Linked DNA regions of Macaca fascicularis. The protein of the gene in region 4 interacts with the protein of the main gene of each other region in a pairwise test. Links are inferred from orthologs where the notes say so. Each region holds a gene or a part of one and is shown on either strand. Other genes may lie near its edges. The genes, in order: charged multivesicular body protein 3, ARRDC3, ZNRF1 and UBE2E2.

Region 1 (3,567 bases), on a different chromosome or scaffold from region 4:
GACAGAGAACAAATTAGTCAGCTTCTTCTAAAATACAGTGGCCTCCCCTTATCCTCAGTTTCACTTTCTGCAGTCAACTGCAGTCCGAAAATGCTACATACAATTAGATATTCGGAGAGAGAGACACCACATTTACATAAATGTTATTTCAGTATATTGTTATAATTGTTCTATTTTTATCATTAGTTGTTGTTACTGTGCCTAACTTATACATTAAACTTTATCACAGGTATGTATGTATAGGAAAAAACATAGATTATATAGGATTGGTACTATCCATAGTTTCAGGCATCCACTGGGGGTCTTGGAATGTATCCCCCTCAGATAAGGAGGGACTACCGTAAACAGAAAATAACAACAATTCAAATTGTTAAAAACTGAATTCTTGAAAGTTATCCTTTACAATAGATTAATATATATGATCTGAGCTGAAAGAATGGCAAGCAATGGAGACGACATTTCTCTTCTGTTTCTAGTAGATATTTTCAATTTTAAGCATAGTTTTAAAAAAAATACAACCCTCTTTTAAGGGCTTAAACCAAGGTGGCTGTGCTGATTGGCTTAGCTGGCTAGTTCACAGTGCCACGGACAAGGTTTCAATCTCATTCTTCTCAGTTGTCCTGACAGAGATTGTTCTTTCAGACCAGGCCAGCCATTTGACAGATGTAAGCCACTGGCCTCAAGGAACACAAGCCAGACAGTGGTGGTCAGTGCAAACCTTGAGCATCATTGGAAAAATTAAGTAGGTGTCCTACTGCATCATTTCCATATACAGAAAACCATAGAAATACATCCTATTTTTTAAGAGTTGTTTTTCAGCTATTAATACCTATGAGGTTTAAAAATATTTTCAGAGAAAAAAAATTTAGCAACTAGAATTTACAATGCTACCATTTACTATCATTATTTGTTCTTCACTTCATTTGCCACCTTACCAGAGAATTCCTTGCCACTCTCCTCTCCTTAATCTGCTTATTTTTATTCTTAGTACTTTCCACTAACTGATGTTATATTAAATATTTATTTGGTGTCTGCCTCTCCCAACTAGAATGTGAGCTACCTGACAGAGCAAGGACATAGCTTGGTATGTGTTTCTGGTATATCTTTAGGGCCCAGAACAGGGCCTGGCACACCCACAACTGCTAAATAAACTTTTGATGAATTCTGTCACATATTTATTACAGGAGCTTAATTCATAAATATCTTTAACAGGACATCAAAAACAGTAGATCATTTATAAGCCAAGAATATACTGCTAACTATTGAACCAGAGTGTATTTGTTGTCTATAGGCAGCAGCCTATATAGCAAAAGAACTCAAGACTTTTGACATGGCCTTCCATGTTTCAAGGGTGCAACATCTTCACTATTTATTTCCATGGGATCAGTCAATGTGGATGACAAACATTTAGACACTGAACGCAGGGCAGTGGGACTGGCTATTCAACTCATCTTCAGTAATAAAATCTAAAATTATCAAAACCAGTGTCTTTCTCAATCAGACTATTAGAAATAAGTACCAGAGAAAGGAAATGGAATAACAATATACTTATAAATTAAAGCTTTAAAAAAGCTACAGCTTATTTTTCAACTCCAATTAACACAGAAATAAATTAAAATTTAAACAGATAATGTATGGACTACACCTATACCCTCGCATTCTCTCCCATTGCTGAACTTAAAATTACTGAATTAGATTATCTGGAAGGTAAAAGGACAAATGCAATAGGAAGGTTACAATAAAGAAAGGCTATGGATAAACAATGTCATCTCTGGAAGAATTCCCAAACCTCAACTCTTTAGCACAGAGGACTACTGTAATATTTTATCCTTTTTAGATGTATATGTATTTATTTGAGGTCACGTACAACAGAAAAACGTACCTATTCACAATCATACTGCTAGTCAGTGACAGTACCAGACCTGCAACTAAGGTCTCTGAACTCAAAGCTTTTCCTACCATATTTGCAGTCTTTACTCTCAGAAAGAAACATGAAGAAACTATTTTAATTTTCATGCCCTGAATCAAACTTTGCCTACTCCAGGGTGAAATGACAAGAGTACCGGACAAGAAATCAGAAGATCTGGGTTTCACCCTGGTTCAATATTACCAACTAGTTCCATGACCTTGGGCAAGCTAGTTCACCTCTCAGAGTCTCAGAAAAGGTTAGTCTGATACAATTTCCAAGCTTCAGCCATTCACAGACTACATTAATAATTTTAGCCACATTCATGCTGTTAATTTACTTGATATGTCACTTTAAGTGAATGTACAGTTTTAAAATGTAAATAACTTTAGTCCTTCCTAAGCAAAATTTATGAAATTTACATGTTAATATAATTTTTCTAATTTAAATGAAAATATGTAAACGATAATGCGTGCCCACTTGCCATAAATTATATCTTGGAAAGTATAAAATATTTTTAAGGTCCTTCATAGCTCTAAAATTCTAATATGCTAATTAAGTCTCACAGTTTTGCTATCATAAAAACGAGGGTTAAAAATTATAATCTCATCATCATGAGCTATGTAATAAGCACCCCCACCATTTTCCGCAACAGCTTCTCTATAGTCACAAAGTTGGCTATTTCCCTAATAAATGATTCCTTTACTTTTACTTTAGGGTTCTTACTTACATATAAAAATTATTCAGGCCACTGAATTAAAAACTGGAGATAACAAAAACTGAGAGAAACAGTGCAAATCACTAAATAAAAGGGATATATATGTGTATTTCTCAATTCAACAAAGGTCCAATAATTAAAATAGATTTGCTTCTGGGGATTCTAAACAAAAAGTTGACTCCCATCCCCCAACTTTCTCTTTCCCACTAGTCAATTTTCATTTTCCTCAGTCTCCAAAACCTTTTAAAGATACTAGAGCCTCCCTAAGAGAACTAAGTTATGTGTGAGAAACAAGACACAAGTACACGAAGTGTCACTGGCTAGTACATACTATTTGAGTAAAAATAATTTTTTAGGGTTCTCAAAATATCAAATTATCACTGCTTTTCATACCTGAACCAGCCAGATGCCATCTTTTGTGTCTTCCACAAGCTCATAGAAGTGCATTTCACCACTGAAATTGGTACTAGAAACCGATTCCGATGCTTCTTCCTTGAGAGCAGAATAGAGCTCACCCTCCATCAAGTCACCTAAAGAAAGGAAAAGAGTAACACTAATAAGGTTGCAAGAATCCTAGATTCCCAATTTCAGTAATTCCATTTTTTAGACTGTTAAGAATCATGATATTGTACTTTCATTGTATTCTATAGACAAGAGCTACTAGTAGAACCTGAATATACCCACTTAGGTGTCATACATTCAATAAGTATGTAGTAAGAACTTCCTACGTGTCAGGCAAAAGCGAACAAAATAGACAAAAATCTATCTCTTATAGAATAGGGCTTGTATTTTAGTGGGGTTATCACATAATTATTAGGAAATTACCAAATTTGTACCACTCCAAAAAGGCACCACTTTATTAATTATTTAGTTTTACGTATGACACATACAGGCTTCATATACATTTTTAAACAGTATGGCTCATATGCTTCTTACTTAAAAG
Region 2 (3,567 bases), on a different chromosome or scaffold from region 4:
AAAGAGGTATAAAATTAATATATTGACCTTTATATTCTGCACAGACCACTTGCTACCTCATTCGAAGGCCGACATGGCAGTGTGCGCTATTGGGTGAAAGCCGAATTGCACAGGCCTTGGCTACTACCAGTAAAATTAAAGAAGGAATTTACAGTCTTTGAGCATATAGATATCAACACTCCTTCATTACTGGTAAGAATTGACTGAATTATTCATTCTTTGTTTTTGGCATATAAATATTAAAGAATAATCAATCACCTAAACTATGCAGTTGTCATAATTTAAAAATACTGGTTTTCTTTTAAAATTCCATAAATATACATTTTCTTAAATACAGTCAAGAACACTGAAATTAATGAAAAATATGCTCACATTTTTGACATTGTAGTACCTTTAAGTAAATATGAAACTAAGACCAGTATATGATATGAAGTATCTCTTACTCACAATATGAGTAACAAAAGCCATAACAACAAACAGATCTGGTCCTTGGATGATTTGAGTGGAAGAAGGACAGTAGTATCTTTTATTGTAATACAATATCACTTAACTTGACAACATCATAATCTAAAATTTGTACTATACTTTGTTATTCCAATAGAGGGATAGTTGTCAAATAATGGGGAATCATTCGTTTCATTAAAAAAACTCCTTTTTTAAAAGAATCTATTTTTAATTGCATTTGTCTGAGAATAAATCAAATTTGACTTAAAACTGTATTTGGTTTAAACAAATGATAACATCTTTAAAGCAAATAAGAAATGGGCATTTTCCTTTTTTTACATTTTTTTTTATATTCTCAGAGGAAGATGTTAACATTTGGAATTATAGTCAGATTGCTTTCTGTGCTGCCTTTTTAAGGCAGTTTAAATGGAATGTGGAAAGGGTTTTTTTTATTTGGTTGGTTTTTCATTACTGTATTTGTAAATAGTGTGAACTAAAAAACTGTTTATGGGAAACGCTGTACACCCTTTACCTTTTTTTTCTAATTGAATGGAAATTTATATAAAAATAAAAGTAATGGTATAATTCAAAACCATCAATTAGTTAAAAAATAAGAAGTATATCTGGATCCAAAAAAAAAAGCAAAACCAGTTTTAATTTTTATTTTTCCACAAATTTAGGATTATATTTTAAAATATTCTGGTATTGATTGTACCAATCCATACACTGACCTTTTTCTCTAAATTGTTTTCTTACAGTCACCCCAAGCAGGCACAAAAGAAAAGACACTCTGTTGCTGGTTCTGTACCTCAGGCCCAATATCCTTAAGTGCCAAAATTGAAAGGAAGGGCTATACCCCAGGTATGTATGAGGTAGATTCCCACAAAAAACTTTCTTCACTTAGCTTTTGTGTATAAATTTATAATATAACTATTAAATATCAACATAATATCGTATTCTTTTGTGAAATTACAAATTGTGCTTTTCCATTTGTTTTTTCACAAAATAGAATGTAGTTTCCTTTTTCAAATAGCTACTGATGAGTTCATTTCTATGACTCTTAAGTTATTTGCAGTTCCTAGGACACCTTTTCGTGCATGTTAGTTGCTCTTTCTTACTTTAGCTTTAAGAATCTTGATTTCTTGGCCAGGCGCAGTGGCTCAAGCCTGTAATCCCAGCACTTTGGGAGGCCGAAACGGGCGGATCACGAGGTCAGGAGATCGAGACCATCCTGGCTAACCTGGTGAAACCCCGTCTCTACTGAAAAATACCAAAAAAAAAAAAAAAAAAAAAAAAAAACACTAGCCGGGCGAGGTGGCGGGCGCCTGTAGTCCCAGCTACTCGGGAGGCTGAGGCAGGAGAATGGCGTAAACCCGGGAGGCGGAGCTTGCAGTGAGCTGAGATCTGGCCACTGCACTCCAGCCTGGGCGACAGAGCGAGACTCTCTCAAAAAAAAAAAAGATTCTTGATTTCTTTTGTTATTTTTTTCTAACCGGGCGACAGAGCGAGACTCTCTCAAAAAAAAAAAAAAAAGATTCTTGATTTCTTTTGTTATTTTTTTCTAACAGTAGATATGTATATATTTTTCCCTCTCTAGGTGAATCAATTCAGATATTTGCTGAGATTGAGAACTGCTCTTCCCGAATGGTGGTGCCAAAGGCAGCCATTTACCAAACACAGGCCTTCTATGCCAAAGGGAAAATGAAGGAAGTAAAACAGCTTGTGGCTAACTTGCGTGGGGAATCCTTATCATCTGGAAAGACAGAGACGTGGAATGGCAAGTTGCTGAAAATTCCACCAGTTTCTCCCTCTATCCTCGACTGTAGTATAATCCGTGTGGAATATTCACTAATGGTATGTACACATTTAAGAGGTTTTTTCCTTTCTTTTTTCTTTTTTGAAACACCTGTCACCCAGGCTGGAGTGCCACGGCACAGTCTCAGCTCTGCTGCAGCCTCTGCTTTCTGGGCTCCAGTGGTCCTCCCACCTGAGCCTCCCAAGTAGCTGGGAATACAAGTGTGCCTGTAGCCAGGCCTGGATAATTTTTGTATTTTTTGTCGTGATGGAGTTTCACCATGTCACCCAGGTTGGTCTTGAACTCCTGGGCTCAAGTGATCCACCCACCATGGCCTCCCAAAGTGTTGGAATTAGAGGCTGAGCCATAGTGCCTGGCCCAAGAAGTCTTTGGTGTTTTGTTTTGTTTTGTTTTTAATCTTAAAGTTATGGAGACATAATTTTGTCTTACATCCAGGTTTTTTAATTCCATATATAGTGACATATGAAATACATAACTCTTTATATAGTTTGACTTATAATTATACCTTATATGTAAATGTACTATATAGAATTATACATAAAAGAGAAACTTTTCATGTATGTAAGATAAAAAATGAAGTAAATGGGGGTTTCAAATAACATTAAAATTGGTTATTAGTTTTTGAAAAGGAAATCATACTTGGCATTCTAAACGTAATATTTCTTTGCAATGTTTAGGTATATGTGGATATTCCTGGAGCTATGGATTTATTTCTTAATTTGCCACTTGTCATCGGTACCATTCCTCTACATCCATTTGGTAGCAGAACCTCAAGTGTAAGCAGTCAGTGTAGCATGAATATGAACTGGCTCAGTTTATCACTTCCTGAAAGACCTGAAGGTAATTTGATAATACATATCTAAGCTTAATTTCTTACTATTATTATCAAGAAAATTATTTTGCTTCTGATATTTTATGACCCTAGATGAATGTAATCTTCCCCTAAAGAAAGTAGATGTGCCCCTAATACTCAGTTTTGATTATATGTCTTCATAGTTTTAATCACCAAACAAATAATTATTATTTTACCTTGACATTGCTTTTTAATACCTACTATTTTGTGTATTTTGACATGCATAAGAACATGCTGTTCGAATTGCGTGTATCTTTTTCCTTCAGCACCACCCAGCTATGCAGAAGTGGTAACAGAGGAACAAAGGCGGAACAATCTTGCACCAGTGAATGCTTGTGATGACTTTGAGAGAGCGCTTCAAGGACCACTGTTTGCATATATCCAGGAGTTTCGGTTCTTGCCTCCGCCTCTTTATTCAGAAGTAAGTACCTACTCTTAAGTGTGCAATGAACTG
Region 3 (4,248 bases), on a different chromosome or scaffold from region 4:
TAGAGTGCTGGGATTACAAGCGAGTCACCATGTCCTGGCCTGATTTTCAAATTTTTAACAGACTTTTACTCAGGAGGCTGAGGCAGGAGAATTGCTTGAACCTGGAAGGCGGAGGTTGTCCAGCCTGGGCTACAGAGCAAGACTCCATCTCAAAAAAAAAAAAAAGAAAGAAAGAAAGAAAGGAAAAGAAAAACAGGCCAGGTGTGGTGGCTCACGCCTGTAATTCTAACACTTCGGGAGGCCAAGGCGGGCGGATTACCTGAGGTCAGGAGTTCAAGACCAGCCTGGCCAATATGGTGAAACCCTGTCTCTACTAAAAATACAAAAAATTAGCCGGGTGCAGTGACACGCACCTGTAATCCCAGCTACTCAGGAGGCTGAGGCAGGAGAATCGCTTGAACCTGGGAGGCGGAGGTTGCGATGAGCCGAGATTAGGCCACTCCACTCCAGCCTGGGTGACAGAGTGAGATTACGTCTCAAAAAAAAAAAAAAAAAGAAAAAAAAAGAAAGAAAAAAAAGAAAAAGAAAAACAATTGTTCGCTGAATGAATGTGAATATAGGAGAGAAAGACGGACTGAGGTATCAAAGGAACCCTCCCTTGCAAAATGATGCAGGCTTGGTCAACAATACACCTATTGAGTACCCACCGTGTCCTTGGCCGTGGTGTAGGCCGAAACACAGAACATGGTAAACAAAACAGGGCTCCAACCTTGGACAGAAGGTTTCTATAATCACTTCTAGCTACGTTGTTCTATTTCCATATCCATATCTATTCACATTTTATGGTACCTCTATTGGTTCTGAAAATTACATTTTAGCTAAGGAATCTACTCATTTGCTTAAGCCCAAAATAGGAAGTTCTGACCTAGTGTCAGCAACACTCCGGATTCACAAGTGTCCCCATGGCGCTGTTTACCCCCAAATAGCTAAACCCCGCCAAATGTTGAGATTCCGGACCTGAGGGGTGCTTGGATGGGGAACCCCCGAAAGAATGGACATCACGTCCACCAGAGGGTGCTGTGGGGGCAAATTTGTGCCAGGAGGGGAGCTCGACTGGTGACCCTCAGAGCCAGGTAGGCGTAAGGAGTAAATCTCCTTCTTCCCGGTGTTTCCTTCCCACCCCCTCGAACCATTGCTGCCCCTCCCCCATACGTGGTTCCCCCTGAATAATTTGCCATTTTCGGGGACTTAAGAAGTGTTTGCTTTTCAAAGACATCTGGTTTCTGTGGCTAACGCCCAGTGGCTCAGGCCGCCCAGGTCACAGGCCGGCCGGGGGCGGGCGGTGGGTGGGGACTGCTGGGGCGTCAGCTGCCCGGGCGCCGCAGGGGCCGCGAAAGGGTTAACCCGACGGGGGGAGGGGGAGGGGGCGCAGGCCGCGCCTGCGCTCTGCCGCCCTCCATTGTCTCCACGGCGGCCAGGAGCGCCGGCAAGCGCTGCCCGGGACCGAGCGGGGTGGCGCGGCTGGCGGGGCCGGCGGCGACTGAAGCGAGAGCGCGACACGACGCGACCGCGGCTTCCCGAGCTGCGCCTGGCCGCCCAGCGCCGCGGCCCGCCCGAGGCCTGGAGAGGTCCGGGCCGCCGTCCATGGTCGCGGCGTCCTGAGGCGGGGGACGCGCCTGGCGCCCCCGGTCCTCCTCCTCCTCCCGCGGGGCGGGCGGCCTCCTCCGGCGCCTCCCCGCGCCCGCCTGCCTCTCGCCGCCGCCTCCCTCCCTCCTTCCCTGCGGCTCCCCCGGCTTTCGGAGCCCGGGGGCGGCCTGTGGCGCGCGGAGCCCGCGCCGGACTGCGCCTCTTTGGACCTTGAGGGGAAACGTGCGTTTGGCTTGGATCGTTTGAAATTCTGAGTTTGGGATCCCCGTCCGCCCGCCTGCCTCTTCCGCCCCGCGGGTTTTTTCCTTTTTTCTTTTGCTTTTTTCTTTTCTCCCTTCGGGTCTCCTTTTTGACTCCCTCCCTCTTTATGCTCGCCCAGCCCTCCCCCCGCTGCTGAGAAGTGGGGGAGGGTCTCGGCCTCCAGGTTCCCGCCCCACCGGGGCCCGGGCGAGCATGGGGGGCAAGCAGAGCACGGCGACCCGCTCCCGGGGCCCCTTCCCGGGGGTCTCCACCGATGACAGCGCCGTGCCGCCGCCGGGAGGGGCGCCCCATTTCGGGCACTACCGGACGGGCGGCGGGGCCATGGGGCTGCGCAGCCGCTCGGTCAGCTCGGTGGCAGGCATGGGCATGGACCCCAGCACAGCAGGGGGGGTGCCCTTTGGCCTCTACACCCCCGCCTCCCGGGGCACCGGCGACTCTGAGAGGGCGCCCGGCGGCGGAGGGTCCGCGTCCGACTCCACCTATGCCCATGGCAATGGTTACCAGGAGACGGGCGGCAGTCACCATAGAGACGGGATGCTGTACCTGGGCTCCCGAGCCTCGCTGGCGGATGCTCTACCTCTGCACATCGCACCCAGGTGGTTCAGCTCGCACAGTGGTGAGTCCACGGTGGTGGAGGCCTCGGAGGGAGGGCGCGCCGGGGCGCCCCAAGCCTTCGCGCGCGTGCCAAGGTTTGGGAATATAGTGCACGACCGGGATCTGTCTGCCTTCCCTTTGGTTCCCGATGCCAAGGGATGAATGGGATACCTACCCTCTGGAAACTAGGCTTTCTGCAAGGTTGCGGAGCCTGGCGATGTAGGACTCCCGGCGTGTGTTCACTTGTGGAAGGGCAGAGCGAAGCCTACCTATTGGAGTCCCATTTATTGGCATCTCCCTCCTCAGAGAAGCGGTCTTCTCTGGCTGAGAGCAAGTCAGCCTGGGTGCTTCCATTCTGCCACTGCAGCACTGTGCCTGCCTCACCAGTAACGGAGAGATGGAGCCAGTTGGAGCAAGCAGTGTCTCCAAAACAGAGAGTATGAAAATGAAATAAAATTAGGGGCGAGTGATGCCTGGATTAGGGCTCTCACTCTTGCTGGGAGAGAGAGGTGCCCAGTTTTGCCACCCTGCTGGAGATCTGTTTGAAATGTTTAAAATGGAGCAGCCGGCAGGCGGCTGGCATAGACAGGTGTGGCTGCTGTACGGAGGGCCCAGCCGGCGAGTCTCGCGGGGGCTTTGCAGGACCAGGGCTCTGGTCACCCGTACTGCATGCAGCAGACTTGGCTCCACGACTCTCACCTCCCTCCATCTTTTTTCTTCTGCTCCATGCTAAGTGCTTGGTCTTCCCGTGAATCTGCATCTTTTTGTAACAGGGAGCCTGTCAAGGTGGGGCATTATTGCCTGACTGTTGGCACATGACTGGGGGAAAGGAGGATTCAGAGAATCTGGATGAATTCATTTTATGAACTTCTGGTGACAGGCCAGCAAAAGGTTGGAGGGGGATTTCCCAGGCTCCTACTGGGAGGGCTAAAAAGGCCTGGCAGGAGGAAAACAGGTCTGTCTGCTAGGTCAGGCTTCTAGAAAATTGGCCAAAAGGTGTGTGGGGCCGCTGTTTGCTAATTGGCAAGTTGAGTGAATAACTTACATCTTAAGTTTCTTTTGGGTGAGTTGGGAAAATTTAGATATTGTGTAGGGGAAAGATTGCTCCTGCCTTTAGGGTACTTTATGGAGGGTAATATCTCGTGGATCACTGTTTTACCTACTGTGAAATAGGGTTGACTTTTGGGGTATCGCTTTCCCCCTCCCTGCAAATATCCTGGGGTTTGTTTTCATTTGGTTCGGTTTTTTGTCAATTCTATAAACTATGTGAAATAGAGTTGGGGGACGAACTGTTAGTGACTAATTTAGGGTAACCCTTAGAAGTAGCTTGTGAATTGTTAGGATGATATTTTAATCTCTGAACAGACCTCCGGATATCATTGGAGCTTTTCTGACCTCATCGAACTCTGACCTGAATGAGATGCAAAACATGATTGCCTTTGGCTCTTTCAGGCATTTGATCAAAATTAGGCATTTTGAAATTAATAATCTTTCCTATGAAATTTAGTTCAGAGAGTTAGCCATATTTTTGAGATGACTGGTTAGGTGTTTAAAAGAACTGTAATGAGCATCTGGTTTTGAACTTAAAAGCACTATACGAAGTTTCTCTAAAATCACAGAATTTTGTGTGTTGAAAAATATGAGATATGTAGGGAGGAAGAAAGGGAGTTTTTTTTTTTTTTTTTTTTTTTTGCTGAAATTTCTTCAGTCTGTCTCTTACTAAAAATTTATTTATTATGCTACTGCCAGGTTCCATGCTAAAGTTATGAGCTTATAATTGGATTCCAGAATTTCAGTCCTAAGCTG
Region 4 (3,567 bases):
GATCGCTTTTATTTATACTTCCTATTTGGGCAATATAAAACATATGAAAACAAAGCAAGAACATAAAATCACAGGATCAGAAAAGACACTACTTTATCTTTCAAATTATTTTCCAAGAGATATTCTATAATGTAACAATATCAAAACAGATTCCCTCTAAGTCCACTGACATGCCAATCATTTTAAGAGATTGATGTACCAAAAGAAGACCATTCAAATACCTACTTTCCAGATCCATCTATTCTCCAGAGAAAGAGAAAAATCTGTATCAAGATGGATCCACTGACTAATGTAATGAAACCAAGATGCACTTGTCGCTAATGTCAGCATTTCTGACTCTACCAACTGGGAGTAGTGGAAAATAAACTATCACTCACTCAATAACCACTTCAAAAGATTCCTAATCTCTATTTTGTGTTACGGAACAGAAAAAAAATATTTATGGTCAAGTAACCATAAATGAAACCACTGCAACTTTACATGCACGCCCTGTATATGCTTCCCTAATAATACACAAACACACAAACACACTATGGAAATGTATTTTATGAATCTGCCATGCCATTTAACTGACTTTAAATACTGAAGTTCCCTATGGCTAAAACCATGTAAAAGAGATCATCTTGAAAGGGAAAGAAAAATCCACGAAGTTCATGGCTGACAATCACGGAAAAAATGATTAAATGCAAGAGAAAAACAGAACTTAAGATGATAAACTGATACCAAAAATAAAAAGGTTATAATAACTGAGATACCTTTTAGCACTAGTTGACAATTTAGCAGCGGTTTTGCTGGATATTTTTCCCTCCTTTTTCTTGGGCTGAACTTGTTCTCTTTCTGGTTCTTGCTGAACACTTTCACGTTGATCTCCATCGGAACTTCCTCCACTAGTGCTTGGACTGTCATCAACTCTTTGTGCCTCAGTGGACATTTTAGATCCTGGATTAAAGAATCAAAAATCATTTACTCAGCTGTGAGGACGACTACAGTAAGCTACCTCCAGAACACAGAGAATGAATCTCAAAGTAAAACAAGTAAATCTCAATATAAAACGGATTAAATTGGTCATTTACAAAACAATGCAGCTTTGGGACTTGCTAAAACTTTTCCTTCATCCATTCAAAATGTATTGTAAAACAAAAACATACAAAATTTATACATGAAACGTTCACAGCAACATTATTCATAATAACCAAAACTGGAAACAACTCAAATATCCACTAACGAATGAATGGATAAACAAAATGTAGTAGTATATTCACATAATGTACTGTTAGCCATAAAAAAGAATGAAATACAGTGTCTACGTGCTACAAAATGGATGAACCTTGAAACATTCTGTAAGTGAAAGAAGCCAGCCACAAAGCACCACAAGCTGACTATTTAGATAAAATGTCCAGAATAGGCAAATTCATAAACATCAAATTCAGTAGTAAATCTCACGCCTGTAAATCCCAATGTTTTGGGAAGCCCAGGCAGGACCAGCCTGGGCAACATAGCAGGACTCGATCTCTACAAAAAATAAAAATATGATTGATACCACTGCATTCCAGCCTGAGTGACAGAGAGAGACCCTGTCTCAAAACAAAATAATAATAATAATAAAATAAAATGGGTAAGTGGTTGCCAGGGAGTGAGGGGAGAGCAGTGAAGACTGACTGCTAATGGGTAGGATGCTTCCCTGTGGGGTGATAAAAATGTTCTTAAATTAGATAATGATAATGTTGCTCAATTCTAATAATAAATATTCTAAGAACTACAGAGTTGTACATTTTTAAACGGTAAATTTTATAGTCTGTGAATCACATATCAATAATGCTGTTACAAAAAATAAGAAAAAAATGACTAAGGGTCTACTCTCTACCAGGTGCTGTGCTAAACCCTTTGGTCCCACAACTGTGAAAAACCTGGACTAGCCAACTTGCTAAGTACAAAAACGAAGGTTAGTACAAATAGTTGTGGGAACAGAAAAATGGGAGGATTCTTTCAAATCCCTATTCCATCAATACATCCTCAGAGCTGGGCTAAGGTTAAAATTCTCCAAACTAGTAAATTGTTTTAAGTAACCTTTGTGATAACAGAAGAACACAGAGGCCTGCATGACTGCATGATTCTAAATAAAAATTGAACCATACGACGGCATCAGCACTGATTCAGCTATATACTAAAGCAACCATATTTCACAAGAGATGGCGAGACACTGAAGAATTTTTTTTTTCTTTTCCCCACAGTCTGGCTAAAATATCCCTCAAGGCATTCAAATTCCCTTTGCTCTGAGTTCAGGCTCCCCAAGCAGCTCTGATTACCAACTCAATTTCCTCAATAGCTTGATATTTAGGTAGCTGTTATAATCTAGACAGGAGACACAAACAATTCCAGTAAGAGAAGAGGAGTATCTCTTCTCAACTGTCATTCTACCATAATCAATTTCTGAGTTTGATGACTACGAATACATCCCTTACGAGCTGACTAGCCTACAGTGTTCTGACAAATCCAGAACTGAACCAACAAAACCCATGCCCAGACTCTAAAAGGTCTTGTGCTCACCACAGTTTTGTCACCTAATAATCACTTTGAGCACTGTATAGCTACCTTCTCAGACACCTCTTTAAAAACAAATACCTATACTTAACAAGTACCATTAACAACAAAAAAAATACCTTTAAAAATTAGAGGTACACTGAACAAACTCCTTTTGAAATGGATCCTTTTGATTATTCTTATTCAAATTACGACTTGAAATAAAACTGTTTCTGATATGATCAATAAGAATAGGTAAAGATACCTCAAATAAAGCAAAATTTTTAATTACTACAATTTAGTCCAAATGGATAGCTATTTGACACTGATGAAAATTCATCATTACTAAAGATTTAACTTGTAGTCTGCTCCAAGCCAAAGCAATGTTGTAACACCGATCTTTAATAGACTGAAATTTTTGTAAGACAAACCAAAAAGCACTGCAAAAGAATGGAGGCATCACGAAGCACAGAGCCGCAAAGAGTCAACAGAAAATAGTGAATCCTTTCACTGACACGCCACACACACCACCACCAGCACCCCTTCAACCCCAACAGCTCCTCATGCCACACAAAAACAGGTCTGCCTCAACAGCTCTGAAACATACTAATGGAAAAGCTGACTACTTTTCTACCTATTCTGTAAATGGAGAGCACCAGTCTCCACAGCTGTGACATCTTTTATGAGCACTAAAGTCACTTAATAGAATACTGAAATTTTTTATCAGTATGTTTCACATCTAGCTCTAAAAGTCATAACATATTTCTTGCTTTTTTTCATTTTTATTTTACTCTAAATTCTCATTCTTGGATTTAATTTTTTTTCACCTTACCTCTTTCAGTTAAAATATATCAGAAGTTTAAAACCTTCTAAGTATGTACATAATGGCATATCAGTTAGGGCAGCACGCATGACAGTGAAAACGAGAACAATCCTCAGGGAAAGGTGCTCAGATACAGCAAAATGCTGCCAGCGATACCTTAAGAAATGTGAAATGAGTGAGAAATCATTTTATACATTTTAAACCAGGAGCAATCTGTTCCATGA

The links.
Region 1: the proteins of UBE2E2 (region 4) and charged multivesicular body protein 3 interact in a two-hybrid assay, tested with the Homo sapiens proteins (2 studies listed by BioGRID). The link is inferred for Macaca fascicularis from reciprocal best matches to the Homo sapiens genes UBE2E2 and RNF103.
Region 2: the proteins of UBE2E2 (region 4) and ARRDC3 interact in binary tests that used the Homo sapiens proteins (3 or more experiments, as listed by UniProt). The two-hybrid records come from large-scale screens. The link is inferred for Macaca fascicularis from reciprocal best matches to the Homo sapiens genes UBE2E2 and ARRDC3.
Region 3: the proteins of UBE2E2 (region 4) and ZNRF1 interact in a two-hybrid assay, tested with the Homo sapiens proteins (2 studies listed by BioGRID and IntAct). The link is inferred for Macaca fascicularis from reciprocal best matches to the Homo sapiens genes UBE2E2 and ZNRF1.

Annotation. Positions count from the first base shown.
Region 1 is NC_088387.1:34,966,182-34,969,748, reverse strand, and holds part of charged multivesicular body protein 3, read right to left. Parts: intron 3,155-3,567; coding exon 3,018-3,154; intron 1,171-3,017; exon of another isoform or gene 1-1,170. UniProt on the Homo sapiens protein: Acts as an E2-dependent E3 ubiquitin-protein ligase, probably involved in the ER-associated protein degradation pathway.
Region 2 is NC_088380.1:95,368,884-95,372,450, reverse strand, and holds part of ARRDC3 (arrestin domain-containing protein 3), read left to right. Parts: intron 1-44; coding exon 45-192; intron 193-1,202; coding exon 1,203-1,305; intron 1,306-2,041; coding exon 2,042-2,298; intron 2,299-2,937; coding exon 2,938-3,100; intron 3,101-3,341; exon of another isoform or gene 3,342-3,379; coding exon 3,380-3,534; intron 3,535-3,567. UniProt on the Homo sapiens protein: Adapter protein that plays a role in regulating cell-surface expression of adrenergic receptors and probably also other G protein-coupled receptors.
Region 3 is NC_088394.1:70,818,609-70,822,856, forward strand, and holds the start of ZNRF1 (E3 ubiquitin-protein ligase ZNRF1), read left to right. Parts: upstream 1-1,398; 5' UTR 1,399-2,040; coding exon 2,041-2,464; intron 2,465-4,248. UniProt on the Homo sapiens protein: E3 ubiquitin-protein ligase that plays a role in different processes including cell differentiation, receptor recycling or regulation of inflammation. Mediates the ubiquitination of AKT1 and GLUL, thereby playing a role in neuron cells differentiation.
Region 4 is NC_088376.1:25,157,707-25,161,273, forward strand, and holds part of UBE2E2 (ubiquitin-conjugating enzyme E2 E2), read right to left. Parts: intron 940-3,567; 5' UTR 932-939; coding exon 756-931; intron 1-755.